7 linked regions of the Canis lupus familiaris genome follow. The protein of the gene in region 4 purifies or fractionates together with the protein of the main gene of each other region. This does not show direct contact. Links are inferred from orthologs where the notes say so. Each region holds a gene or a part of one and is shown on either strand. Other genes may lie near its edges.

Region 1 (4,008 bases), on a different chromosome or scaffold from region 4:
GGGCTCTGCTGCTGGAGGCTGGGCACCTATTCACTGTGTACTCCACTTCTGGAGCTTCTTCATAGCTTTCACCAAAAGGATGTACAAGTCCCTGTTGCTGTGAGGTTGTTTGAGATGACTTGATGTTACTTACAGAGGAAGAGCCACAAACTAGTGATGAAGTATCAAGTACCTGGTCAGAATTCTGGGCCTTATCTGTGTCCACATCAACAACTGCAATTGCTTTTTGCTTTAGCTCACAGTCTAAACTAACAGGATGAAACAGTTCACTTTTTCTTCTAACTTCTTCACATTCTGCAATGGCAGCTTTCAGTTTGGCAACAGAGTCTAAGATCTTTTTACCTTTGTCGGGCAATTTGCAAATGAATTTTCTGTTAAATGGGGAAAAAAACACACATGTATTTGTTAGAATCATGTTTTTAAACTTGAGATACAAAGACAAAAGCATTATCCTCAAAGGGAAAAAAAAATCTATCTTTAAGCCAAAAATCTGACTTCCTACTGCATCAGAACAGGAATAAAGTAAAACGCATTATCTAAATACTCTAAAAATACATGATGCAGAAATAAGTATTCCTCATCTGTCTAATTAGAATTTCAGCAAAAGTATTTTAAGCACATAATATCCTATAATACACCCCAAAACTCGCAGTTTTTAAAGTGTGATGTCCAAGGCCTTCCTAAGGAGGGGACGTGGATGGGTCTGCATGGTCAAAATTATTTTCATAATAATACTAAACCATTATTTGCCATTTCCATGCTCCTTTTCTCATATGGGTATAATGGGAGTTTTCCAGAGGCCACGTGATACTGCTCTGATGGCTAATCACTGTGTATTCTTGTGTTTTAAAGATCTCTCACCTGTAATTACTTTTTTTTCTAATTTATTTATTTTTGGGAAGAGAGTGAGCGCAAGACCACAAATGGGAAAAGGCAGAGGGAGAGAAAATCCCAAGCAGACTCCTGGAGCCGACGCCAGGCTTGATCTCCCCACCGAGATCCCGACCTGAGCCAAAACCAAGAATCCAACGCTTAACCGATGATGCCACCCAAGTGCCCTTCTCACCTGTAATTCCTAACACACCAATAAACACCAGTAGATGTTTTGTAAGTAGATGTTTTGTAAAACACCAGTAGATGTGTCTTGTAAAACAAGAGCTCCTTGGGACGCTCCTTAAGTCTTAACAGTATAAATGGGGTCCTGAGACCAAAAGGTTAACTCGCTGCTATAGATTTAAAAAACCATTCTCACAAAGTACTTGAACCTACTCGAAAGCTCCCAAATGGTCATTTGTCCCTTTTGCTGACTGACAGAAATTCCTTTTCAGTTTCTCTCTCTCTCTCTTTTTTTTTTTTTTTTTTTAATCTCTATTAGAAACGGAGGGAAGATAGATTACACCTCTGGCTCTCCATTCTCTCACATTACATTCCTTCCCACAATTACAACACCGAATCCCTCTCCAGCTGAGATTCCTACATGTCCTCAGCCTTCTCTCTCCGGATCCTCATGACCACTACTCTAGCTTTCCCCCACCTCCCCAGGATTTTATTTATTCACGAGAGACACAGAGAGAGGAGAGAGAGAGAGAGGAGGGAGAGAGAGAGAGAGGCAGAGACACAGGCAGAGGGAGAAGCAGGCTCCACGCAGGGAGCCCGACGTGGGGCTCGATCCCGATCCCGGGTCTCCGGGGTCACGCCCTGGGCCGAAGGCAGGCGCTGAGCCGCGGCGCCACCCAGGGGTCCCCCTACTCTATCTTCTAAGTACATCTAACTAACTCCCTGTCCAACTCAGCACCCCCCGAGTAAACTCAACCTCGGAGCTCTTCCCCAATTTTCCTGTTCTTACCAGTGGTCCTCCCTACAGGCTGGGAACTTCAGCCATCCCTTTCAACTACCTACCCCGATTATTCCACGCCTGGTCGGAGTTTTCCCAATCCGACAACTACTCTTCTACAGTCCCCCTTGCTGGGAACTTCTCTGAAAATAACCTCCAGCTGTCGCCTGCCTCGGATTCCTCCAAAACCATCCTGCACCGATCTGCTAAATGAAGCGTCCTTAAAAAAAATAAAATAAAAAAATCACTCTCATTATGTTGTTCACCTGCTAAAGGGAAGTCGGCCAGCTGGAGGGGACAAACTTTTCCTGCCTAATGCAGCACTCCAGACTCTCCCTCTCCTTCCTACAGCTCCCGTAGGAACGGGACCGAGACGGAACTGACCCGGTGTCCTGGGCCCGGTCCGGGCGGCAAGGGAGGCGGAGGTGCCACGGGATTTAGGCCACGGCCCCTCCCTTCAGGGAGCCGTCGGGGTAGCAAGGTCATTAGCACCGCGGAGGACTCAGGGAACAGCTGAGACTCCAGCAGCCGGCCGTTGGGCCCTCGCGCGGCCGCCTGTGCGGCGGGAGGCCGTCCGCGGGCCGGCGGCACCCCCGGGTCTGACGGAGGGAAGGTCACCTTCCAGGGCAGGGAACCCGACGCGGGGGAGGGCAACGAACGCGTCCCAGGGAGCCCCGACCGGAGAAGCCTGGCGGTGACTCGGCGGGACCCCAGCTTACTCGTTGCGCAAAAGTCTCTCCTGGCGCTTCAACATCTCCCGCAGCTCCGCCAAACTCCGCCGCCCCAAGTCCTCGGGAACTTGGGGCTCGAAGCCGCGGGCCAGCGAGGACATTCTGCGGGGGCTGCGGCTGGCGCGGCGGCGGGCACTCGGCTCCCTCGGCAGCCCCCGCTGCTGGCGCCGGATCCGCCGCCGGCGTGGACTCCGAGGTACGAGCGGGAGCCGCCATTTTCCCGGAAGAGCGGGGCTTCTTCGAGCCGAATCGAGCTTTATTGAAACACCGGAAACAAACACAGGCGAGGGGAAGGGGGCGCTGGGAGGAGCGGGGAGGGGCGGAAGTTACGTAAGCCGAGGGGGCGGGGCGCGCTGGCGCCGGGGGTCTCTTCGCGGCTCGTCGGCTCGGCTCTTCAGGTTTATTCGAAAAGTGTTGCCTGTAGCGCCGCTGTGACCCCCCAACACGTGTCCCCGACTCCTGCCGTTGTGGAGCTTACCGAGGGGTGGAGGGAGGCAGACACTAATCAGGTAATGGTGAAACAGCAGTAAGAGGGGCAGCCCGGGTGGCCCAGCGGGTGAGCGCCGCCTTCGACCGGGGGCGTGACCCTGGGGACCCCGTTTCGAGTCCCGCGTCGGGCTCCCTGCAGGGAGCCTGCTTCTCCCTCTGCCTGTGTCTCTGCCCCTCTCTGTTTCTCACGAATAAATATCTTTTAAAAAAGAAAAAAGAAGCCCCCCCCCCCCCCCCCGGCAGGTGCCTTCTGAGAAGTGGGATGGAAGTGGAAACTCGCCCTTGGTGAAGCCGGGGGAGTGTGCCGGACGGGGCCCAGGCGGCCAGGGCTTAGTGAGGTCCTCAAACTAAGTTGGAGGGATTTTTCGTGACTATCAGCGTTTCTTAGTGGGACTCAGTGGCATTCGGAGCAGGACATTTATGTGTCTGGCTTGCGCCCTCTGGTTCAGTGCAGCTCCCAGCTCGGAACAATCCCCGACGCCTCTACCAGTCCCCCCCCCCCCCCCCCCAGCCCCCCGACCCCACCCTCGGCCCGCCCCGCAGGTACACAGGCCCCTCCAGAATCCGCCGGAGGTGATGGTGGCAGGTGCCGGACAAGTCAGCCTGAAACCGATCCTTCCTAACTGCCCAATTCGCCCGTGGGAAAGCAGAGGCGCAAAATCAATGAGGTATTCCCAGGGCACAAAACTAGTTAAGTGGCCGCACCAGATGTCACTCCAATGCCCAGCTACTCTTTCTACCACACCCGTTTGGAAAAAATCTTCTTTTTTTTTCCGCCTATTTCCAAATGTTTAAAACTGTTGAAAGTTTTTTTTTGTTTTTGTTTTTTTTCTTTTCAGGTTGTTAAGAATCTTAAGAGTAGAGCAGTGTAAGAAGCATCCCAGGTGGCTCTGACTTTGTCTTTACAGCTCAGCTACCAGAGCTGTGTCCCAAAGCAAAACTAGGAAAAGCGTG
Region 2 (3,967 bases), on a different chromosome or scaffold from region 4:
GTTTGTCTTAGGAAAATTGATGTAATTATAAGACAGTTATTCTAAGTTTTCTTCACCCATATGAAATTTCCAAGGTTTGGCTCAAGTGACAACTCTGTCATTTTGGATCAAGGAACACATTTTGAAAACCAACATGTAGTTTTTTGTTTTTTTAAGTAGACATCTACTCTCAGTGTGGGGCTCGAACTTACAACCCCAAGATCAAGAATTGCATGCTCTACCTACTGAGCCACCCAGGGGCCCCCATCATGTAGTGCTCAATAGTATATGAGGTATGATCACGAAGTAATGAGATCAGCCTTAACAAGAAATATAGTCACTAACCTTTTTTTTTAAAAAAAGCTTTCTTTTTTAAAGACTTTATTTATTCATAGAGACAGAGAGAGAGAGAGAGAGAGAGGTAGAGACACAGGCAGAGGGAGAAGCGGGCTCCATGCAGGGAGCCCCACACGGGACTCGATCCCGGGTCTCCAGGATCACGCCCCGGGCTGCAGGCGGCACTAAACCGCTGTGCCACTGGGGCTGCCCTATAGTCACTATCCTTAAACCACATATGTTATATCCCTATGTAAAATAAGCTCCTTAAAAGCAAGGGCTAGATTTATTCTTTTCCTTCTCATCAGGTGCCCCCCTTCCTACATACTTGCCCCAAACAGGTAGTAGCATCTGTCAAGTGGTTGATATAAATAGGTACAATTTTATAAATAGAATAAATAAGGTTAGAGAAAGTGCTGGTAGACATCAACCCCTAACTGACCAAAGGAGAGTCAACCTCTCTATGCTTTAGTTTTATTCAAGTGTAACATGCCTATCTCAAGAGGCTATTCTCAGTATCAAATTCTATTACATACCTAACTGCAACTGCACTGTGAACTTCAAAGCACCAGGCCAATATGCATTATTATTTCCCTCAACCCCTGATGTAGCAGTAGAACTTGGGAGGAACTGAGGGGCAACTTGGAGATTTAACGTGTCCAAAGCGACTCTTGATTTCCATTTCCTCAAACGTGTTCCTTCTTGGTCTTAGCACTACCATCCACCCAACTATTCAAGCCAGGAATTCACAAGTTCCTCCCTACTTCTATATTCAACCCTTCATTCCTCTAAGCTCTGCCCCTAACATTTACCCTGCATCAGTTCACTTCTCTCCTGCACTGCTACTGCCTAGTCCAAACCATCATCTCCTTCCGGGACTACTATGCAGTAACTTCTGGCTGATTTCCCCACTTTCCATTCTTAATGTAGTTGTTTGGATAATTAAAAATAAGTAAAATCAGATCGTGTCACTTTCCTGTGTGCTAACATGGCTCCCCCTGAGGGGCATCTGGCTGGCTCAGTTGGTACAGCAGGTGGCTCCTGATCTCGGGTGGTGCATTTGAGCCCCAGTTTGAGTACAGAGATTACTAAAAAAAAATTTTTAAAAATACAACGGCTCCCCTGAACTTAAAATCTAAATGCTTTACAAAGGCTGTCTCCCCCACGCCCTCCATCTCCTATCACTCCTTCCCTTGAAACTTCACTGGAGTCCAACTGGTCTTCTGATCCTCGGATAGTCCATGGTTTTCCCTCACACCAGGGCTTCTGACCTCATTTCTTGCGTGTTATCTCTCCCACTCACACGTGACTGGCTCTTTACGCTCAAATATTATCTACGCGGAGATGGCTTCTTTGATCACTCTGGCTAAAGCCTCAACTCTTTATCACATTTTCTCCTTGTAGCACTAACCACTGTGTGATGTTATCTAGTGCACTGTGCCGCCGCCTCCTTTGAAATGTAAACTCCAAAACAGGCAGAGGTACCTGTCAGCCCTAGTCACTTCTGTATCTTAAGCATTTAGAACAGTGCTTTTGGTACACGGTAGGTGCTCAACAAAACAATTCTTTGGTTCGAGTCTCCTCCCTCCTTCGGGTAGTTGAGGAAACGCGGAAGCCCTCAGGAAGACGGCAACACGCCTCAAACCAAGAGCATGTCTGTGACAGATCTGGAAAACCTTAGGTCTGCACGGATGTTAAATCAGGCGTCTCGAGTTCCAAACTCAAACCCCGGAGAGTTTTCAGGGAACCATAAGCTAGCATCAGGGACAGAGCCAGATTCGGTGTGAAAGATGGGTCGCCGAAAGGCCTTCTCTCCCCCTTCCCAACCAGGCCAAAAATTCATGTCAACCCTTCGGTCGCGAGTCCTCAGCGCCCTCCCGACTCGGAGCTCCGAGGCCCGGCACGCGTTGCCTAGGATACCCCGCACCTCCCCCGGCTGGCCGAGAGCCACGCCCACCGCCTCCTCGGTACGATCCGATTGGCTGCCTTCTGCCAGGCCTAGTACTCACCTGGCAGTTCCCGCATAAGGTAGAAGGGACCGCAGCCAGCCGCCGACTTGTCGGCGCCGGGGGGAGCCGTGGCCGCGGTGGACGGCGGGGCCGTGCCGGGGCCCCCGCCCGGAGGAGGGGGAGGAGGAGGTGGAGGCTTTCCTGGTCCGAAGCCGAGCGCGCTTGGTGGTGGTGGTGGGTCAGCTTGAGCTCCGAACAGCGCCGAGAAATTCTCCATCGTCTCCTCCGCCCCGGCGCGGTCCCTGTGTCTGGCGTCGGTCGTTTTCATTGGACAATCCTCTCACGATGTCCCGCCCCCTTCCTCTAGGAGCCGCTTTTCATTGGGTGCCCCGCCTACCGTTTTCTGGCAGCTACTTCCGTCGCTTTATGAGAACGTTCCGGAAGTGCTATCTAACTTGCAGAGATTCCCCTAAAGGCCGTCTCCGTGCGCCACCGCCGCATATCCAATAAAATGACTTAAGTGGAGAAAGCGACATCTAGGTCGGCCAATAAGACGTCAAAGCCCCTTACCTTCCGCAACGTCCAATCAGAGATCTACTTCCGGGCGCGGAGGCGGTGCATCCGAGGCCAAACCCAATGGAAGGCTCGCTGGTGGAAGGGGCGGGGCCAGACCTACAGACGCCGAAGCTCCGCGGGCGCCGCAAAGGCCGGAAAGATGGCGGTCCTGGCACCTCTAATCGCTCTGGTGTATTCGGTGCCACGACTTTCACGATGGCTGGCCCGACCTTATTATCTCCTGTCAGCCCTGCTTTCTGTTGCATTCTTACTCGTGAGGAAGCTGCCCCCTCTCTGTAGCAGTCTCCCCACGCAGCGCGAAGACGGCAACCCGTGTGACTTTGACTGGGTGAGCGGACCCCGCGACCTTCACTGTCCCTGCTCCCCGAGGTTGCATGCGGGAGCCTCGAGGTCCCGAGCCCGTCGCGGCCTCACAGACTATTAGAATGTGGGGCCTGGAGCATCGTCGAGCCTAAACCTCTTCGTGCTTCATTGAGATGGGCAGACAGCGGGTTAGCCTGCACGGCCGCCTGGCTCTTAGGATTCTGGAGTGCAGGGTTCTTCCCATCGCCCCGTTCATGCTGGTCAGCGGCCGTACCCAAACTCGCCACGTGTCCAGTATTTCACAGGGCCGCCCTTTATGTAAAGCTTCTGGAGGAGCTGGTGAGGTATAAACAAGGCGGGTCGTGGTGCCCCCGTTTAACTGATGGAGAGCTTGACCTCGGCGTAGTCGCCAGGGAGCCCACCGGTGAGGGACTGCGACCCGCAGCCACCCCTGCACGCTTTGGCAGCCGTTCCTGGATTCAGTTAACACTCCCAGGGCGCGCGTTACCTGCTAGGCCCGCTGCCGCATTCCGAGGATGCAAAAACATCAACACAGGCGTTAGGCCCGCTGAAAAGGAATCGTAAAAACAAAATTGTAAAGAAATCTCCCTTGAGACTTGCTGTCCTCGAGTAGGTGCGGAGTAAAAGGAGTTGAAGCTCTGTGCGCCCTGCTGTACAGCAGCGGGTGTGTTCTGCGGGAAGGGAAGGGGGGTCAACCTGAGTTTTCGTCTTTTTTTTCTTCCCCAGCCCCCAAAGTGAGTCTTGACCTTTACCAGAACCCACTCCCTTATTTTGTTCCTCCATCCCTTGTTAATGCTTTCCTA
Region 3 (4,045 bases), on a different chromosome or scaffold from region 4:
ATAAAGACAACTTTCCTCTTAAGGACTCATTTGTCAAGGAGATGGTCAGTTACTTTGTTACTTCACTAACTTCTCAGATACTTGTGGGTATTAGGTCAGCTGCCTGACATTGATTTTTTAAGCAAAAGCTAAGTTTGTTAACCATAACTGCATGCCCATAAAGGTAAGCATTATATGACACAATTCTGTGTCGCTTCTCTCAGAAGAGGTTTAATTTTAGTGTTGGCTCTTCAACACTGTCCCCATTTTTTTTTCCATGAGTATCTTAAATATGTGTCAACTAACTATCCCAAAGTGGAGTTCATAATTGGGCAAGGTAGAGAAAAGCAGCTGTGCGCCAGCGATGCTTTCTTGTAGTTACCTCACTCTCACCTGAGCCCAGGTCAATCCAGAGAAACTGCAAAATTATGGTCGCACCATCTCTGCCGGTAACCTATTCTGCCACGGCTCCAGTTTCTCAGTGGAGTTTGCTCAAAGCCACACTCCTGTCAAAAGGTTCTGACGAGGCTCATGGATGGTCACTAGCAATGGCAGCATTTAAAGAGGCACTTTCCTCATCGCTCATATTCAGAGACATGTTTCCCAATTCCACTCACCACACTTTTATTAGCAGAACTCTATGCACACCCATCGGTAGTCCCTCAAAACAAACCATATGAAATGTGAACTACATGCCATTAAAACCATGGGCTTCTATGAATGTATCATCTCTGCACTCACTAAAATACAAAAAAACTGAGATTTGTTTTCTTCTCTCTCTTCTGGCTAACCTTCCTTCCTCCTCTCTCCCTAGGAACCTTTTAGATTACAGCGTTACAGAACACTGGAACCCCTGAGGTCACTGCTCCACCTAATCTACAACATCGTGACCGCCTGTCAAAGCGCCTCCTGATCCCAAAGCTCTCCTAGGTGGCATTAAGGATCAGTGCTAATATCTCAGCAACCTCTCAGACTCTCCTGAAGGCAAACAAGCACATGGAATTCAAGAAATTACACTCTGGATAAAAGATGCAAAAAGTCACCAAGGTTACGTTTCTCGTGTCACTTGTTTTGTCCTCTAATATTTCAATGTTGGAAACTGCAGCAGCACCAGGTACTGCAAAAAATTCTAGAAGGTTTTATATAGCTTGCGCCTACTCCACCCCCAAAGTCATAACAAAAACGTATACGACATTTGTTAAAGACAATTACCACCAAGTTGATCTTATTGGGGCCTGAAGAGGATTACTTATGATACAAAAACCAGCGTCTTAAGAAGATCATAACTTCGCAATTTTTACCAAAATTATACAAGCCAAGGCGAATAACTCTAAAAATACCAACCTAAAACAGAGTGTTAAGAGTAATTAGTCAAACTCATGTAAGGAAAAACAAAAACCCTACAGAAAGAGAAACCTGAGTTACCTAGCCCAAGATAATATTTTTTCCTTCGATCTCCAGCATATTAAAAAGTGATCTTAATGGCCACTTCCTGGTCTCCCAGCAAATGCAGGGGCTCGCTTCATACCTGGATACCACAACATCTTCCTATTGCTCAACCTGCTCCTGCCACAGGGGAAAATAACCCCTACTGCCAACAATCCTTTGGAGAAAATATGAGAACACTATGAGTCTTCCCCTACACACACGAAGGGGGGCAGAGGAGATCCCTTTGCAAACGGTAGCCTCGGTGGACCTCCGTCTGAGAAAGCCACACTCTGGGGTTAACCCTGACCGTCTAGGTGACAAACCACCAAGCTGGAACACTCAGGTGAGGGGTAGGGATAGACGAAGGAGGGCTCTTGAACAAACAGGAGAGAAAATAATCACCTCTAATTCACACCAAGAAGCGGGGCTCTGGCTCGGTTATAGACGCAACGGGCATTTAGGCCCAGAAAGGTAATAGGAAGAATCCCACCGTCCCCGAGATCATCTACCGTCAGCAGCGTTCCCAGGAGGGATCGGGCAAAGGCATGTCCACCGGCAGAACCAAGGGGGGACTCTCCACGCGCCCTGGGCAACCGGCTAAGGGCAAAGTAGGCTGGGGGTTCCCTATGAAGCCAGGAAGGTGCTTCCAGCCGGGAGAAGAGGGAAGGAGGACTTCCCTGATCACCCAAAAGGCCGAGACACAGGCGGCATAGGCTCCCGAGTCATACCCCGGACACCAGTTGCTCCACAGCCTTTCTCCTTCCCCTCCCCCCACGCCGGGAGGACTTCCCGGGGGTCGCGGGTCCCCGGGGAAGGGCGAGGTGGGTGAGCTCCGTCAGGAGCAGCAGGGGTCGTAGAGCTGGAGCGAGAAAGAAGGGAAAGCTCTGGCCTCAGCTCCCGTCTGCTCCGTCCGCCCAGGCCGCACGGAAGCCTCGGCCTCACGTACCGAGCGCCGCCAGACTGCCCGACCTGCCCCCGGCTCGGGCCCGTGGGGCGAGAGACCGGGATGGCAGCGGCCCTCGGGGGTAGGTGGGCGTCGGGCGGGTTCCCCGGAGCCCAGCGGGCGAGGGGCACTGGGGAGGGGGAGGGTCCCGGGCCCACGCGGCCTCCGTCCCGGCCCGCGCAGCGGGTACTTACGTTGCTCTGGGGGTCGATGGCCTGCAGCAGCCGGTCCCTGATCTGCTGCGGAGACGCCGGAGCCGCTGTCATTGCCTGGGCGAGGCGGGGGGGAGCGGCCGGGCCAGCGGGCGGGCGGGCTGAGGCGGGGGACGGGGGTCACTCACTCGCCGGCCTCCGGGAGCGGAGCCTCATGTTCCCCGCGGCGCCGGGGGAGGAGGGGGCGCGCGGGGTGGCGGAGAGGGGAGCCGGGGCTCGGGCCCGGGGCGCCACCGCCACCAGAGGAGGAGGAGGAGCCACCGGAGCCGCCGCCGCTGCTGCCGCCGCCTCGAGAACCAAACTCCAGTGAGCTGCCCCCGCGCGGAGCACTCTGGGTAACCCGCGCCGCACGCAGCGTCGGCGCCACGCTGAGGAGGTTGGGAGATAGGGCGGGCGGAGACGCCGGGCCTGGGCGGGGCTGCGCGCGAGCCCCGCCCAGGGCCCACACGCATGCGCGCGCAAGCGCACTGGACCGCCGCCCCGCCCCGCCCACCGCCCGGCCGAGGGAGCCGTTGGGAGGCGGTTGGGCGGGGCAACGGCCGCCGCCTGGAGGCCCCGCCCCCGGCCGGGCCGTGGGGAACTGAGGTTTCCGACGGAAACGCGCGGAGCGCGCCGAGTCCTTGAACCTGGGCGCCCCGGGCGGCCGCCTCAGAGGGGGGCAGCGGAAGGACTCCTCACTGGGGAGAAAAGCTTTCCCCACCGACGGAGGTGACGGGAGCCGCGGGCGGGGGAGGCTGCCACGTTTTCCGAGCCGGGGGTCCTCGGCCCCGAGGGCGAGGGCGACAGGTCCACGTTGTGGTAGCGCGCGCGGCAGGGTCAGCGGGGGGCGCCCCCCCGAGGGCGGAGGTCTGCGGCGCTGGGCGTGCTGGGATCACGGAAACGGGTCGCCGAGCGCCTCCGGGGGGAGGCGGAGCCGTCACGCCAGCTCGGGAAACGCCGCGGCCCGCCCAGGGAGCCCACCGACCCCGAGGTCGCAAACCCGAGTCCGCCGGGGTTGCTCATCCTGGGCACCGATGACGTGGGTGGGCGGGCCCCGGCCGCAGGCGCCGTCCTGCGCATTTTAGGGTACTCCGCATCCTGGGGCTCTACCCGTTCAACGCCGGTGGCGCTCTCCGGTCAGGTCAGCCAGAAATGTCTAGTCATCGCCAGACGTCCCCTGGCCGGCAGGGCGGCCCCGGTGGAGAACCCTGCTGGCGCGGAGGGTGCTGAGAAACGGAAACCCTCATTCTCTGAACAAAGCATTTCACAAGAGAGGAAACTGAGGCCCAAGGTCACCCAGAGTTCTAGGTCAAACCCAGAATTGTTCAATGTCAAGTCTAAGTGGAGTCTCCTTCCCCACCCCCACCTCGCTGCCTGGAAGCCCCGATACTGTTATGGGGCTAGAAGGCAGGCTGAGTGGGTTATTAGCCGCAGCCTCCCGAGAGAGAACTTTTTGTTGTTGTTGTTACAGGAAGACCTAGATTTAAAACAGGAGAGAGGCAGC
Region 4 (3,500 bases):
AACCTATGAACCATGTACCTTGAAAAAAAAGAAAAGAAACAAGAAAATGAAAAACAATACATATGGCTTTTGGCTTTTTAAAAAACTTGTATATTAAAAACACCATTTCTGATATTTTTAACTTTAAGGAAAACTTTATCTCGACAGTATCTTGGCAAAAATCTTAACATACCCCAAAAAATAAGCTTTTTTGGTCTCACAAAAGTCACTGACACCAACATGAGGGAGCATTTCTTTTTGTAAGACTTCTTTTGCATATTTAATTCTTTTCTCTTTAGTGACCCCAGGCTTTGCCCCTCTTGAGCCAATGAAATTTAGTGCAACATTCTGCTCCTGGATGACAAAAGCTTCATCGAGAGAAGGTTTCACCTATCAGAAAATTCAAATGAAAGTTATTTTCAAATTCATATTTTCACCTTAAAATAAGTAACTGTTAACTTTCATTTATAACTTGTTAAATATCCCTATGTACTTAATAGAATACGCAAATATTTTTTTTAAAAAACAAGGAACCACAAAATCCTAAAACTTGAATAAGTCTTAAGATCTAGAGATCTGACAGAATCTACACAATTACACTTCCTAAAATAATACAAATAACCCTATTATTTAAAAAAAAAAAAAAAAGCAGTTTTTGGTTTTTACATTTTAGTTAACAATGGCAAAACAAAAATTCCTAAATATCTTACACCAATTTAGAAAAGTTTAATAGTCAAATTAAAATTGACTCAACTACAAATGAATAAATGCACTAGGCTGGTTTTAGTCTTGGTTTTAAGAGGTTTTTAAACCTATAAATAAAACTACTCTGTTTTTTGTAAAGCACAATATTTCAAAGGCAGACTGTTATAGAGACCTACACGTTCTATACCTGCAGCAAAGTGGGTGTGGCCTCTAAGCAGTCATGTAATCAGTTTCCTTGTCTGAGGTGGTCAGACATGATAATCCCCAAGTTTTACTCACTCTAGTTCTAACATTCTAAAATTCCATTTTACATAATGAGCATGAAGAATGGGTACCACTTAACTTTGGCCTCTGTATATACACTTGAATTCTATCACATTTTCTGAAATGTCTTTCCTGCCTCTGACTTCCTATGTCTATTTATCACTGATTCTCAAAAGTCTAAAAATATCCATATTCCAATCATAGAACCAACGATCAGAAAAAGGTAACATAAACCAGTCAAAGTGAGGCCACAATATGGCAAATGGAAGTGGTCTTTTTAAATCATCAATGTTATGAAACTGTTTTGTTAAGGTTAATATGGATTTGGAAAAAAGGAAAACAAAAGAAAAAATTAAAGTACTCTTGCAAAGTGAATGGCTTGACTCGGACTGTAAAAATTGGCCTAAGCTTCGTAAGAGCTAAAGGAACAAGCAATAATTAAAAATAAGTATGTAACAGACATAAAGCAAATCAGCTCTTTCACTTTCCTAAGAAAATTCCAGTTTGAATATGATCTGAATCAATTTTGAATCATTTGCAATGCCTTTTGGATTAAAAGATAATAAATTTTCTTAAATACTTAAATAATTACTATCTTTAAGTATTTAAAGAAAACAAACAAAAAAAAAAAACACAAAAACGCGACCATTAGTAAAAGCTAAAAGTAAAATCTAACCAGAATCCATTTTTCTCATGGAACTGCATCAATGCTCTAATAACTAATGTACTCATTCTGCTATCTCACTTTGTGACCAATGTTTGGCCTCCATTTAACCTTCTTACTTAGTAGTCCTAAAGACTTTAGACAATTCAGGACAACTGGCAATAACCTAAATAAGATCTATGGCCTAGTAGTATTAAAGCTAAGTATTATGAATATGTAAAGAATGTCCTGGTTTTCATAGGAAATACACATTGAAGTATTTAGGAATAAAGGGCACAATGCCTGAAACTTACTCTCAAATGTAGAAAAAAATAACATGTATAAATAAAGAGAATGCTAAAACAAATGTAGCACAGGTACCAACTAGTGAATCTGGATGAGAGTATACAAAAGTTCTTTGCAACTTTTCTACAAGTTTGAAATTATTTCAAAATAAAAAGTTAAAAAAGGTTATCAACTATTCATTTTCTTTTTTTACTATACATTTCTTTTTTTTACTAAATTGCACCATATGGTATGCTTTCATGATTTTCTTACTATGGTTTCTTCTTGTTGCTATCGGTGAACTCTGGCTGCCTCTAGTTTTTATGTCTATTTTACACAGAATTGTCAAGAAAGAAGCTGAAGCAAGGCTGAAGGCTTTTGCTACACAGTAAATAGCATGGATCTGTGGCCGCTAAATTACTCTTCAAAGCATCTTTCTACTATGTTTTAAGATTACCAAGTCAGTAACTTTAAACCTCTCATTAGAACACTGCGAATAGGGATCCCTGGGTGGCGCAGCGGTTTGGCGCCTGCCTTTGGCCCAGGGCGCGATCCTGGAGACCCAGGATCGAATCCCACGTCGGGCTCCCGGTGCATGGAGCCTGCTTCTCCCTCTGCCTGTGTCTCTGCCTCTCTCTAGCTCTCTCTCTGTGTAACTATCGTAAATAAATAAAAATTAAAAAAAAAAAAAAAAAAAAGAACACTGCGAATATATTTTGCTTTACATTACCATTTCCATCATCTCTGGATCTTCAAAATCATAAATAATATGCTCTAAAATATCTCTGTCAGACACAAAACCTAATGCTCTAAACACAATAATGATGGGAACTTCCTGCTTGATATATGGTAGAGTTGCCACAATGCGTTGACCAATAGCACTCTTTTTTGCACCCTAGAAAAATAAAACATTAGAATATCAGTACAAAGAGATCACGGTCACATAAAAATATCATAACCATTTCATACACATGTCCACAGTATGTATTTCAAAAGAAGTATACCTTTCAAACTTTAAGGAATGTCCTATGGCTGCTTGCCAAAGACACTGAAACAGGTTTACTAATTCTATGAACAGGCTGATCATTTAGACCTAAGAGAACTTCCATCCTCTATTCTATGCCTGCCAAGACTCTCTTATTAAAAATACACACACAAAAAAAACAAAACACAAAAAATTCTCTGGAAGAAAGACATAACGGGTCAAAAAAAAAATATGTAGGGTAGCCCAGGTGGCTCAGCAGTTTAGTGCCACCTTCAGCCCAGGGCCAGATCCTGGAGACCTGGGATTGAGTCCCACGTCAGGCTCCCTGCATGGAGCCTGCTCTCTCTCTGTCTGTGTCTCTGCCTCTCTGTCTCTCATGAATAAACAAATAAAATCTTAAAAAAAAAAAAAAAAAAAATATATATATATATATATATAGGCAAACACAGGAAAAAAGCTAAGCATGAATGAAAAATATTAACTCAGAGCTGGTAAGGTATCTCATTTGAATAGTATTTCAAAATTAAACAGCCTCTCTCACATAATTTTTTTTCCAATTTCTCTTTAATTGTATACACATACAGAAATGAAACAAAAGTTACTAGCCTACACTTTCATAAAAACTGGCTTCTCCATTTT
Region 5 (3,500 bases), on a different chromosome or scaffold from region 4:
TCTATACCCATTAAACAACAATCCCCATATCTGCCTCCTCAGATAATCACCATTCTACTTTTGTAACCATGAATCAAACTACTCTAGTTATCTCATATAAGTGGAATCATTTAATATTTGTCCCTTTTACAGGTTTATTTCACTTAACATGTCTTCAAATACATCTATGCTGTAGTATGTGTCAGAATTTCCTTCCTTTAAAAGGGTGAAGAACATTCTATTCTATGAATATAGCATATTTTGTTAATCCAACTAGGAACATTCCTATACATACATAGCAATACATACAGGCAAGAAATCCCTAAGAATATATACCAAAGAACAGAAAAGTTTGGCCATAAAAAATGTGTGAACTTGACTTTACTAGATAATACCAATTTCTCAGAAAGATAATACCAATTTCTTCTCAGAAAGGATGCAATTTTATTTAACCAGTAGAATAAGGAGTTCCTAATATTTAACCAGTAGTATAAGGAGTTCCTAATATTGTTAGATTTTTATAATTTTGCTACTTTGGGGGCTGAGAGAATGTAAATCAATGTTTTTATTTTATTTTTTTAAAGATTTTATTTATTCATGAGAGACAGAGAGAGAGAGAGAAGCAGAGACACAGGCAGAGGGAGAAGCAGGCTCCATGCAGGGAGCCAAACGTGGGACAATCCTGGGTCTCTAGGATCACGCCCTGGGCCGAAGGCAGGCGCTAAACCGCTGAGCCACCCGGGCTGCCCATGTAAATCAATGTTTTTATTTGCTGTTTTCCTGACAAGATTGATCATCTTTTCATTCATTATCAAGTTCCTTCTATAAAATTTTTCTAGGGACACCTGGGTGGCTCAGCTAGTTAAGTGACTCCTGATTTTGGCTCAGGTCATGGTCTTGGGTTTGGGAGATGGATATTCTCTCCCTCCCCCTCTGCCCTTACCCCCATTCGCACACATATGCACTCTTTCTTTCAGAAAAAAAAGAAAAAAATTCTACTAGGTTTAGTCATTTCTATGGAAATATACCTCCTTCTGATTTATGGCTTATCTTTTCACTCTTTTTTGGAAACTTCTGATAAGCAAATGCTTTTATTTTTTTATTTTTTTTATTTTTTATTTTTGCTTTTAATTTTAATGTAGAAAAAAACTTACCAATTTTTCCTCTATTGTGTGTAATTGTGTACCTTATTTAAGAAATTCTCCATGTTTACAGAAACCTTCCCATATTCTTTGAAACAGTGTTTATCTTTTAACCTTAAATCTTTAATCTACCTAAAATTGATTTATTTATGTACACTGAAACAGGGATCAATTTTCAGTTTTTCCATTTGGATAACTATTACAGGGATCAATTTTCAGTTTTTCCATTTGGATAACTATTTGTGCCACTACTATTTATTGAAAAATTCATACTTTCTCCACTGATCCACAATATTCTTGTTATTATATACAAAGTATCCACATACATGGTTAGTATGTTTCTGGATCTCTATTCTGTTCCTGATTTACTTGCTTTAAGTTGTGCTAGTATGCACAAATTTTAATTTTCAATTTAAATTTTATTTTATTTAAATTTTATTTTTAACGGGGGAGGGAGAGGCAGAAGACAGAGAAAGAATCCCAAGCAGGCTCAATGTCCAGCACAGGAGCCTGATGTGGGACTTGATCTCACTACACTAAGATCATGACCTGACCCAAAATCAAGAGTTGGGCGCTTAACTGAATGAGCCACCCAGGTGATCCTGCACTTTGAATTTTTAAATGTTCAAGTATTTATTAAAGCATGAGCAGTTTTTTCTAATATCTTGAATGAAATATTTTCAAATAAACTTTTAGCATGGCTACTTTCTAAAAGGCAAACTTTTCAACTTTTTAAAAAAATTCCATTTAGTATATTAAAAATTAACTGCCACAGTGAGAACAGCCTTTAAGCTTACCTTTCTTTCAGTAATATCATAGACTTTATTGGTTTTGGTAGAAATTTTATATTTCTGTTTTGGTACCTAAAGGGAAAAAATAAAGTATAGCTTAAGAAGAATTCAAGTAATAAATATAAACTTTATGTTACAAGATTAAATTATCTACATATCATAACTTTGGCTAACTCATGTCATTAGTTCAAGCCTGTTTCACTTCTTGTCTTATCTACAAAGTATTTTGCTAAATATAAAAAATTAAAGCTTCTATTTTAAAATATTTGTTACTTACAATTCCTAGTTTCTTCTGACATAAAGGATAACCGCAGAGTTTGATAATAGAACGCTCATCCACGACATCGCTGTAGTGAGCAGGTGTGATGAACTTCCCCTACAATGAAATGAGAGGAGCATTTCCCCTGCTAAATTATTGGAAAACTTAATTTATCAGTGCTCTACACCTCACTGATCTCATCAGAAAATAGAGGGATAATGTCTAGCTCATAGGTATGATGGAGAGGAGAAAATAAATACACTCAACACATAGTAAGCACTCAAAAATGTTAGCTATTATTAAAAATACAAACAACCTGAAAAAACTTCTGCCAGGAGACTGTGCATCTTTGTAGATACATAGTCCATGAAATAAATCTGAGGCAAGAAAAAGAAGTGGTGCTATAGCAATTGCTATTCCAAAGCAAAACACTAAAAAGTGGATTTCATTTTAAAAATGTACTATTCAAAAAATTAGTCACATGTAAAATAAAATATAATTTACCTGTTTTTAAAGAACTATCTTTAAAAACAATGTATATCAAAGGTGTGCTTGTGAGTCCTGACAAATTTTTCTGCAAAATCTTTCAGCTTCTGAAAACCTGTACAGGGGACTTATAAACTAGGTACTTATAAACTAGTATCAATTATTTCCCTTTGATATACTCATGGTCAAATTTTAACGCAATAGAGTTGTTAAAAAAAGAACAACTTTTAATACAGATTACAATTCTCTTGTTATGTGTTAAATCATAAGTGATCTATATTTCAGGTTTTTAAAATATCAAAACTAAAAGAACTACATTAACAAAAATAATAACCTTCTGTTACTAAAATAGGACAACACACAGAATATGGAAAATAACATTGGGATAATTAGTGCAAAGTGATGAAAATCAAGTGAGATTAGGAGACTTGTTTAAAGAACTATTATTAAGTGGTTAAACAGGCATGTTATTTTTCTTTAGTGTATTTTAAAGTCATTATACAACCAGGAATGCGTAATAGTTATTATTTTAAAATGCATGAATTAGGGCAGCCCCAGTGATGCAGCGGTTTAGCACTGCCTGAAGCCTAAAGTGTGATCCTGGAGACCCGGGATCGGGTCTCGTGTCGGGCTGCCTGCATGGAGCCTGCTTCTCCCTCTGTGTCTCTGCCTCTCTCTCTCTCTTTCTGAATAAATAAATAAATCTTTGAAAAAAAAATAAAATGCATGAATTACATAGCATGCTCCCTGCATCTTGTGACTGAGAACAGAGTCAAAGATTTTGATAATGCAAGGAAGTTTCATATCGTACAGATTTAAATAATGTAATAATTTCTCAACACA
Region 6 (4,255 bases), on a different chromosome or scaffold from region 4:
CTGGACAGATTACTCAACTATGTTTTATGTTTTCTCATCTTTCAAATAGTGATAATAATCCACATCCCACAGAAATGTTGTTAAGGATTAAGTAAAACAAAATATGTAATGTGCTTAATACAAAGTGATTTGGTGTAAGTGTTCATTCAGTATGTGATAGTGCTGCTTAATATAGAAACATGGTCCAGATTTGGACTCGGGGGCCCTAGGTTACAATTATAACTACATTTTGACTGTGTAATTTTAGGGCATTTGCCTTTTTTATATTAATTCACCCAATCAGCTCTGAATAAGGTGGCAGGATGAGAAAACTAAAAAAGATGCAGTCCTTTCCCTCTAATCTTAGTTATGTGATCTTGGGTAGGTCGCCTAACCTGTCTTGTTTCCTAATTTGCCAAATGAGAATAACACAATAACTACCTTATATAGCTCTGTCGTGAGGATTAAATGTGTTACTGTGTGAAAACAGCATCTAATCTCATAGCAATTGCTCACTATGTTGGCTACAAATATGATTACGATGATTCTAGTCTGGAAGAGGAGTGAAAGAGCTAAACAAAGAGCTACAATATGGTGCAGTGAGAGCAAAAACAGTCAACTAGAAGAATGTCTCTTAACTAGGGTTTCCCCATAACTGGTAAGTTCCACGATAACCAGGATCTTTTAAAACTCTGTTATGTGTACAACAACCTAACTCCCTACCACCAACCCCACAGCAGCTGGAAGGACAAATTTCTCTACTGATTTGATCGTTGGAATTTAAAACGTTTTAAAAATACGTAAAGAGGATAGTCTCAAACAGCGTTTTAAAGGAGATCAATGGAACCAATGACCTCCCTGCCCCCACTCTCAAAAAGGTTAACATACTGCTTAAATTTGAGAAACGGTCAAATGGACCCCCCAGAGGGCAAGGGCAGCACAAGGGCAGCACGCAATTTCCTCAAAGAAGCAACTAAATTAAGAGCACAAAGGTGTGTTTTATGGCAGTGCTGTCAGAGTAAAGCTCAGAACTGGACATTAAAGGGTGGTCCTGGAGATCGAGTGCGGGCACACCAGATGAGAAGGCGGGGGGCGAGGGGTCACCTTTGGAGAAAGAACAGCAAGAGCCAAGGCGTGAAAAGTGCACGTGGGTGGCTTGGCACAACCAAAAGGAAGCTGGGGGTGGGGGGGCGGAGAGCAGGACGGGTACGGAGAAGACTGCGGCCTGGGGCCTGCCAGACGAGGGAGAAAGCGCCCCCCCGCCCCGTACCCATTCCTGATCCCTCGACATGAGTGTCTCTACCGGATCTCCCTCTACGGCTTCCCGGTTGCTGGGTTCCCTCTTGCTCCCGCCACTCTTCCCTTACCTCGTCTTCCAGCCTTTCCCTCACTCTCCCGCCTCCTTCGCCCCGCCGGAAGTGACGTGTAACTAGCGCGCCACAGAGCGCCAGAAAGGTTCTGCGGGAGCGGGAGAAAGGGTTCCGGCGAGACTCCCTGCGCCTGCGTGCGGGCGCGAGCGGTCAAAGCGCCTTCCGGAGGCCGCCGGACTGCGCTTCTTTGCCCGTCTGTCGCTTTCGAAGTGCCCTGAGCGAGGTTCGGGGAGGCCGCCGCCACTGGAGGGGCGTTTTTCTGTAGCTCTGACACCTCCCGGTGCCCAGCTACTCCGGCCCTTGCCCTTTGACCCTGCTCGCGGCGGGGTGAGAGGTCGGTGGCCATCTTGTGGCGGCGGCGCGGGCGGCTGTTACTGCGGAGACCCATCCCCTCCCCCTCCTCGCCCCCTGGCCGTCAGTCAGTCAGTAAAGAGCCCCGCAGGCGGTCAGGTGAGGCCCGGGCCTCGTGCGGTCGCTCCTCCCGCCGCACTGGGCGGCCCAGGCCGCTCCCTGCAGGGCCCCGCCGCCGCCACCATGTCCTCCTTCTCCGAGTCGGCGCTGGAGAAGAAGCTCTCGGAGCTGAGCAACTCTCAGCAGAGCGTGCAGACCCTGTCGCTGTGGCTCATCCACCACCGCAAGCACGCGGGACCTATCGTTTCTGTGTGGCACCGAGAGCTCCGCAAAGGTAAACACCCCCTGGGCCCTCCCCCCATCCCACTCCCGAGGCTCCCCTCAGCTGCTTGCTTTCCAAGCCCGGGCCTCTGCGCCTCTGAGGGGCGCAGGCAGTGTTATCCCCATTTCTCAGAGAAGGAAACTGAGGCCCAGGTAGGTTCAGGGTACTTGCGTGAGGCTCCCAGACTGCGAGCTCGTCCAACACCCCCCCCCCCCCCCCAAGGCTACTCCTGACACCTGGGACTGTTCTTATCTCGACAGCCTCGTAGAGGGCACTGGCCCTAGGCTGTTGTGTGCCCGTGGCTTGGCTGAGCGTTTGGAGTGAGACTGCCCGCCCGGATGCAGTCCTGGCTCAGCCGCCTACTAGCTGGATGACACTGGGCTAGGGTCTTCCTCTCTCTGTGCTTCTGGTTTTCTCATCCAGAGGACGAGGACGAGGGTAGCTGCCCCTTGCAGAGCCTTTATTCTGTGCGGGTCAAGCATGCCAAGACCTTTCTGGATATCCTCACACTGGGTCCTCGGACACATCTGTGAAGTGGGTACAGTTACCCCCATTGTGGACGCCTCGGGCCGAGCTGCCTAGACCTTGCCTCTCAGGCTCGTGCATCTTTCATTGATTCCAGGCCCTGCTCAGGATCTGACAGACGGACCCGGAGCTCAGCCCGTTCAGTGCCAGGCACCGGGTTGGATGCCTGATAACACGTTGGCTCCAGAGGCCATCTGCCTGGAATTTAAGCCTGATTCTGCTAGTCACTGACCCCAGCGGCTTAGCCTCTCTGACCCTCAGTTTCCTTACCTGTGACATGGAGGTGATGAAGACTGATATTTACTGTGCCTTTAATAATGTGCCGGGCGCAGTACTGATATTTTTACATACACTGTCATTTTTTAAATTCTCAGAGTTCTCTGGAGTAGGAACTTTGCAGATGAGGAAAACTGAGGCTCAAACAACTTGGCTGTGGTAAGGAGTAAACAGGATAATCCAAATGAACATCTAGCATGGTGTCCAGCACAGTTTAGGCATTTCATAAATAATGGTGAAACGGGACTACTGGTGACTCAATGTAAGGCATGATCTTTGCCTTCAAGTTGCTTGTAGCCTGGTGGGGCAGGATAGGCACTTTTATAGCTGTTAACCTGATAATTCCATACCAGGAAGCTGAGGAAATGAAGCTTAGAGCCATTTTGGAGCTTAGATTAGCCTCTGTGTAGTAGGCCCTTGATAGCATAGGAAGTAACTTTACATGTGTTTTCTACTATCTGTGAGATGGAGTAGGTTAAGTGGTGTTTTCAGTGCCTTAGACCTGGTGAGGCTAGATTGCATTAGGCTGTCAGACACCAAGATCCTGGATTCTTCCAGGAGACCGACCCAGTTCTAGCCTCGCAGAGACTCGCCTTCCCACAAATACATGTGCTGTATGCTGTACTGAGATGGGGTCCCCTCCGGGCAGTTGGAGAATAGAGTCTGGAGCCCCTGAATTCTCCTCCTTCTACCCTACTTGAGTTATGGAAAATAACAATTTAGAGAGTGCATTCATCTATGAAGCACTTTTAACCCTAATCTCATGTGATCCTAATTTCATAGAACCTTCTGTTTTAAGGAGACCAGCATTGTTATCTCCCTTTTATAGATGAGAAGGTAAAGATATGAAGAGATTAGTGCTTTGTTAGGGGCATATTGCTGGAGCATAAGCAAGAGCCCTCTGATGCCAAAATTTGTACTTTCAAGTATCCAGTGCCTCAGTGCCCCTTAATAAGTGAAGGTGATCATCTGGACTCCAACCAAACCCATAGCACTTATGTTGATCAGAATTAGTCAATGTATCCCACCCCATCCCATACCAATTTAGCATTTATTTCATGCTTACTAGTTTTGTCTTTTTCACTAGGTTTGTGTTTTGAGGGAGAAACTAGGTCTCCTTGTTTCTTTTCAACACCCATAACATTTAGCATGGTGCCTGTTACACAGTTTAAAAATAGGTTAGGAGTTCGATTGTCTCCAACTTCATTTTCATGGTTGAACAGAGGATCTAAACAGCACGACCTAATACAACTTTCTGTAAAATGTTTTATATCCATAATGTCCAACAAGGTAGCCACTTGCCACATGTGGCTATTGAGCATTTGAAATATGTGACTAAGGAATTTAAAAAATTTTTTTAAAGATTTTATTTATTTGAGAGGGAGAACTCAGGGGAGGGGGAGGGCAGAAAAAGGGGGAGAGGTAGATTCCT
Region 7 (3,500 bases), on a different chromosome or scaffold from region 4:
CAGGCGGGGGGCCCCTTGCCATCAGCCAAGGGGCCACGGGTGGTGGGCCGGGCTCCTCTCTCCTCCTCCTGCCCAGGCAGGGGCCAGTCCCCTCGTGGAGAGGCGCCCCCATTGAGCTCCCTCATGGGCTTCCCAAGGCCATTACTTTGCTCAACCCCAGAAACCTGCCGTCCTTCCTCGATCTCCCTGATGGACGGAGCTTGTTCTGGGCCATCAGCACCTCTTGAAGACTGATTTACTGCAGGTGTGCACAAAACAAAGGGTGACTGTTACATAACATCCAACATGAACCCCCTTCTCCCATCCCCTGTGTTTGTCTCTAGACCTGGGCTCAGCAAACTGCAGCTGTGAAGGCAAATGTTTAGGTTTCTGGCCACAGATGGTCACTCTGTTTTGGTTTTCACAACTGGTTAAAATGTGTACAGGACGCTCTAGGCTCCCATGCTGTGGGTGGACACCCTGCGGGAGGCCTCGTGACTACAGCAGTCACTGTAGGCTTCAAACATCGTGTCTACAAACTAAAGATCATCAGAAACACTTCACACCAAAACTTTACATTTTCTTCAGACAGACTCTGGCTTCACACTTGTCCAATAGGTTAAGCTGTGTGGCTCCCTGTAGGCTCTGGGCCAACGCACAGTGCCAACCACCAGCTTGCTGGAGCTGCTCCACCCCACAGCTCACGCTTTCCAAGGATCACAATGGCCAAATTCCCAATGTCCTGCTTATCTTTTAAGAGAAACCAGTATGACAGGGAGGATTCAAATATAATGAATTAAGCTAATTCTTTCATCTTTATTCAATTGGGAAAACACTTAGATCAATACTATTTAAAAAGAAAACCCCAAGTGAGAACCAAACGTTGTGCTTTTCGTTATTTTATCATGAACACAGACAGGCAGCTCTGTAAGTACTGAAATACAAAGGAACAGAAACAAAGTGAGCCTTTGATGGCAGCTGCCAACAGGGGCTGCTGGGCAATAGGCCTTCACCCACCTTTCCTTCTTGCCTGGGACTCCCGAGACCCAGAGGGAGCGTTGATGTCTCCTATGCCCTGGAAGTAGACGTATTTCTTCACGGTGATCAGATTGGGGGCAAACTTCCAGACATCTTCTCGATCATCAATGATGCAGACCATTGAGTCTCCACAGGGAAAGAGATTTCTAGAAGTAAAAACATACCCGAACTAGCATATTTTGCAAGAAAATAATCTGTTAGAAGTCATGACAATCTTTTCCAGGCAGCAAGCAGATTATGGATTAGACAGAAACAGATGGGAATGACACCGAGGGACTTTGTTTAGCTCATATTTAAACTCTCAAAGTTTCCAGACAAAGCAATGTTAAAATAACTCAGCTTTCTCCACTGTCTCTGATACTCCTTAAGGCAGGAACCAGCACATGTTCCTTATGGAGCCACAGTGTGGAGTTTAGAGTGTGGGGGCTGTGTCCACGTTCTGGGAAGCTGGCACACAAATGGTCGTGTCCCAGGACATTTACAAATACAGGTGACAAGCCTGTGAGCCAGTCTGCAGACTTCTGCTTCACAGCTGAGGGTTTTCAGGTAATGGGGGGGAAGAGACATGACCATATATCTCCACCGTGGGAAATAAACCATGGTTTCCTGCAGTGCACCTACGTGCTCTCAAGTCCAAGAATGCTATTAGAATATACAGAGTCAGCAGAAACATTAGCGAGGGTTCGCCATGGGACAGACGCAGGCACGCTCTATTAACCGCACACAGGCTTGTAAATTCTATTTCTATCTACAATTCTGGGATTCAGACAGGCTGGTAGCATTCAAAATTCAAAACCGATTTCTTGGGATCCCTGGGTGGCGCAGCGGTTTGGCGCCTGCCTTTGGCCCAGGGCGCGATCCTGGAGACCCGGGATCGAATCCCACATCGGGCTCCCGGTGCATGGAGCCTGCTTCTCCCTCTGCCTATGTCTCTGCCTCTCTCTCTTTCTCTCTCTGTGACTATCATAAATAAATAAAAATTAAAAAAAAAAACAAAAAACAAAAAAAACAAAACCGATTTCTTCTTGGATCTGGAAATAACCCTGGGAGGACTGCCGGCCCCTGCTGAGTCCCCTAGTCGCTAATGGCTCCAACTACCCAGGAAAACATGTTCATGTGTCCAAAATTAGTATCTCCTGAGTCTGTTTCCCACAGGTAAATAAAAGGCAGCTAAAATAACTTGCACAGTCGAAACTTTCTGGCATATTGACTCCAGATGAGGGAGATAAAAACTAGGAAGAGCCCCATTGCCTGTACCTATACAAGCCATATCACCTGTGCCTGCCGGGGAACAGGCCGCTCCCCTCTGGCGTTCTCACTGGGGGTAGGTAGCTTCTCCCTGAATCTATCACTAGATGGATCTGTCTTCATCACTGATCACCGTGACAGTAACTAGGACACACGAGGTTGGTTTCTGAAGCAAGTACTTTCACGTTCTCCTCTGGGTTCCTACGGCCTTGTGTGCCCACATCCTAAATCTGAAACAGGAAACGCTGGACAAGGACGACCAACACCAGCCAAAGCCAGGGCCCCAGTGTAACTGCCCAAATATCCTCAGGGACCAATGTGCATGAAAACAAGTGTACCCTACGGGAGGGAGGGAGTGTGTGTGGGGAGATGGATGGACTACCTTTCTGGGTAGAAATGGGAAAGTTCCTTGCACAGAGTGAAGAAATTTCCAAACATGTACAAGAGCCTGTGGATTGGGGGTGGGAGCACCCTACTGTGAAAGCAGGGCAGGCAGGGGCAGCGGGTGCTGGACAGGAATGTAATCAGGGGCAGATGGGATGGTGACAGATCTGGGAGTGAGCCAGTAGGATTAGTGCATGCACACTCCTAGGGAAACAACCATGAGACACCAGCACCAAGCTCTTGGAGGAGCTCTGGGTCCCTTTGCTCGTCACCTCCCACTCTGCCCTGCCCCAGCCCTGATCTCAGCACCCCTTCCTCAGACCCTGGGGGAGCCCACCGCTGCCTGGATGCTTGGGGATCTGAAGGGGAAGAGGCTGGGCGACAAGACAGCAGGGTTTCTGAGCGCTGTGAAGATAAAGCCAGAAGCAGGAAGAATAAACACAGAAGGGGATGCCTGGGGGGCTCAGTGGTTGAGCGTTTGCCTTTGGCTCAGGGTGTCACCCCGGGGTCCTAGGATCAAGTCCCCCACCAGGCTCCCCCCATAGGGAGCCTGCTTCTCCCTCTCCCTATGTCTCTCATGAATAAGATCTTAAAAAAAAAAAAAAAAGTAAACAGAATTACTGGATTGCCAGCCTGATGCACTTTCTGCCTCAATGAACACAGCCAAGTACGTACCTGAGGTTCCCTGTTTTAGAAAACGGGTCAATACATTCGTCCCTTGATAATATTCGATGAGAAAAAAGCTTCTTTTCAGGGTCTAAAAAGCCTTTGAAAAGAAAACAGAACAATGGTGAGACATATGACCAGCTGATATTTTCCCCCAGGGAGCTTGCAGTCTTGGGCAATGGACA

The links.
Region 1: the proteins of POLR2B (region 4) and POLR2M purify together in Homo sapiens (affinity purification with mass spectrometry; 3 studies listed by BioGRID and IntAct, counting the BioPlex papers as one, with this or other methods). This does not show direct contact. The link is inferred for Canis lupus familiaris from reciprocal best matches to the Homo sapiens genes POLR2B and POLR2M.
Region 2: the proteins of POLR2B (region 4) and MED19 purify together in Homo sapiens (affinity purification with mass spectrometry; 4 studies listed by BioGRID and IntAct, with this or other methods). This does not show direct contact. The link is inferred for Canis lupus familiaris from reciprocal best matches to the Homo sapiens genes POLR2B and MED19.
Region 3: the proteins of POLR2B (region 4) and MED26 purify together in Homo sapiens (affinity purification with mass spectrometry; 3 studies listed by BioGRID and IntAct, with this or other methods). This does not show direct contact. The link is inferred for Canis lupus familiaris from reciprocal best matches to the Homo sapiens genes POLR2B and MED26.
Region 5: the proteins of POLR2B (region 4) and RPAP2 purify together in Homo sapiens (affinity purification with mass spectrometry; 3 studies listed by BioGRID and IntAct, with this or other methods). This does not show direct contact. The link is inferred for Canis lupus familiaris from reciprocal best matches to the Homo sapiens genes POLR2B and RPAP2.
Region 6: the proteins of POLR2B (region 4) and RPRD1B purify together in Homo sapiens (affinity purification with mass spectrometry; 4 studies listed by BioGRID and IntAct, counting the BioPlex papers as one, with this or other methods). This does not show direct contact. The link is inferred for Canis lupus familiaris from reciprocal best matches to the Homo sapiens genes POLR2B and RPRD1B.
Region 7: the proteins of POLR2B (region 4) and CTDP1 purify together in Homo sapiens (affinity purification with mass spectrometry; 3 studies listed by BioGRID and IntAct, with this or other methods). This does not show direct contact. The link is inferred for Canis lupus familiaris from reciprocal best matches to the Homo sapiens genes POLR2B and CTDP1.

Annotation. Positions count from the first base shown.
Region 1 is NC_049251.1:23,182,613-23,186,620, reverse strand, and holds the start of POLR2M (protein GRINL1A), read right to left. Parts: upstream 2,801-4,008; 5' UTR 2,667-2,800; coding exon 2,554-2,666; intron 372-2,553; coding exon 1-371.
Region 2 is NC_049239.1:38,958,074-38,962,040, reverse strand, and holds the start of MED19 (mediator of RNA polymerase II transcription subunit 19), read right to left. Parts: upstream 2,801-3,967; 5' UTR 2,593-2,800; coding exon 2,325-2,592; intron 1-2,324. Other genes in the region: TMX2 (thioredoxin-related transmembrane protein 2), read left to right, coding at 2,980-3,168. UniProt on the Homo sapiens protein: Component of the Mediator complex, a coactivator involved in the regulated transcription of nearly all RNA polymerase II-dependent genes.
Region 3 is NC_049241.1:46,329,858-46,333,902, reverse strand, and holds the start of MED26 (mediator of RNA polymerase II transcription subunit 26), read right to left. Parts: upstream 2,801-4,045; 5' UTR 2,617-2,800; coding exon 2,545-2,616; intron 1-2,544. UniProt on the Homo sapiens protein: Component of the Mediator complex, a coactivator involved in the regulated transcription of nearly all RNA polymerase II-dependent genes.
Region 4 is NC_049234.1:49,869,758-49,873,257, reverse strand, and holds part of POLR2B (DNA-directed RNA polymerase II subunit RPB2), read right to left. Parts: intron 2,772-3,500; coding exon 2,607-2,771; intron 370-2,606; coding exon 173-369; intron 19-172; coding exon 1-18. UniProt on the Homo sapiens protein: Catalytic core component of RNA polymerase II (Pol II), a DNA-dependent RNA polymerase which synthesizes mRNA precursors and many functional non-coding RNAs using the four ribonucleoside triphosphates as substrates.
Region 5 is NC_049227.1:57,130,708-57,134,207, forward strand, and holds part of RPAP2 (putative RNA polymerase II subunit B1 CTD phosphatase RPAP2), read right to left. Parts: intron 2,289-3,500; coding exon 2,190-2,288; intron 1,985-2,189; coding exon 1,919-1,984; intron 1-1,918.
Region 6 is NC_049245.1:27,117,545-27,121,799, forward strand, and holds the start of RPRD1B (regulation of nuclear pre-mRNA domain-containing protein 1B), read left to right. Parts: upstream 1-1,455; 5' UTR 1,456-1,883; coding exon 1,884-2,034; intron 2,035-4,255. UniProt on the Homo sapiens protein: Interacts with phosphorylated C-terminal heptapeptide repeat domain (CTD) of the largest RNA polymerase II subunit POLR2A, and participates in dephosphorylation of the CTD by RPAP2. Transcriptional regulator which enhances expression of CCND1.
Region 7 is NC_049222.1:894,734-898,233, forward strand, and holds part of CTDP1 (RNA polymerase II subunit A C-terminal domain phosphatase), read right to left. Parts: intron 3,416-3,500; coding exon 3,325-3,415; intron 1,164-3,324; coding exon 997-1,163; intron 239-996; coding exon 1-238. UniProt on the Homo sapiens protein: Processively dephosphorylates 'Ser-2' and 'Ser-5' of the heptad repeats YSPTSPS in the C-terminal domain of the largest RNA polymerase II subunit. This promotes the activity of RNA polymerase II.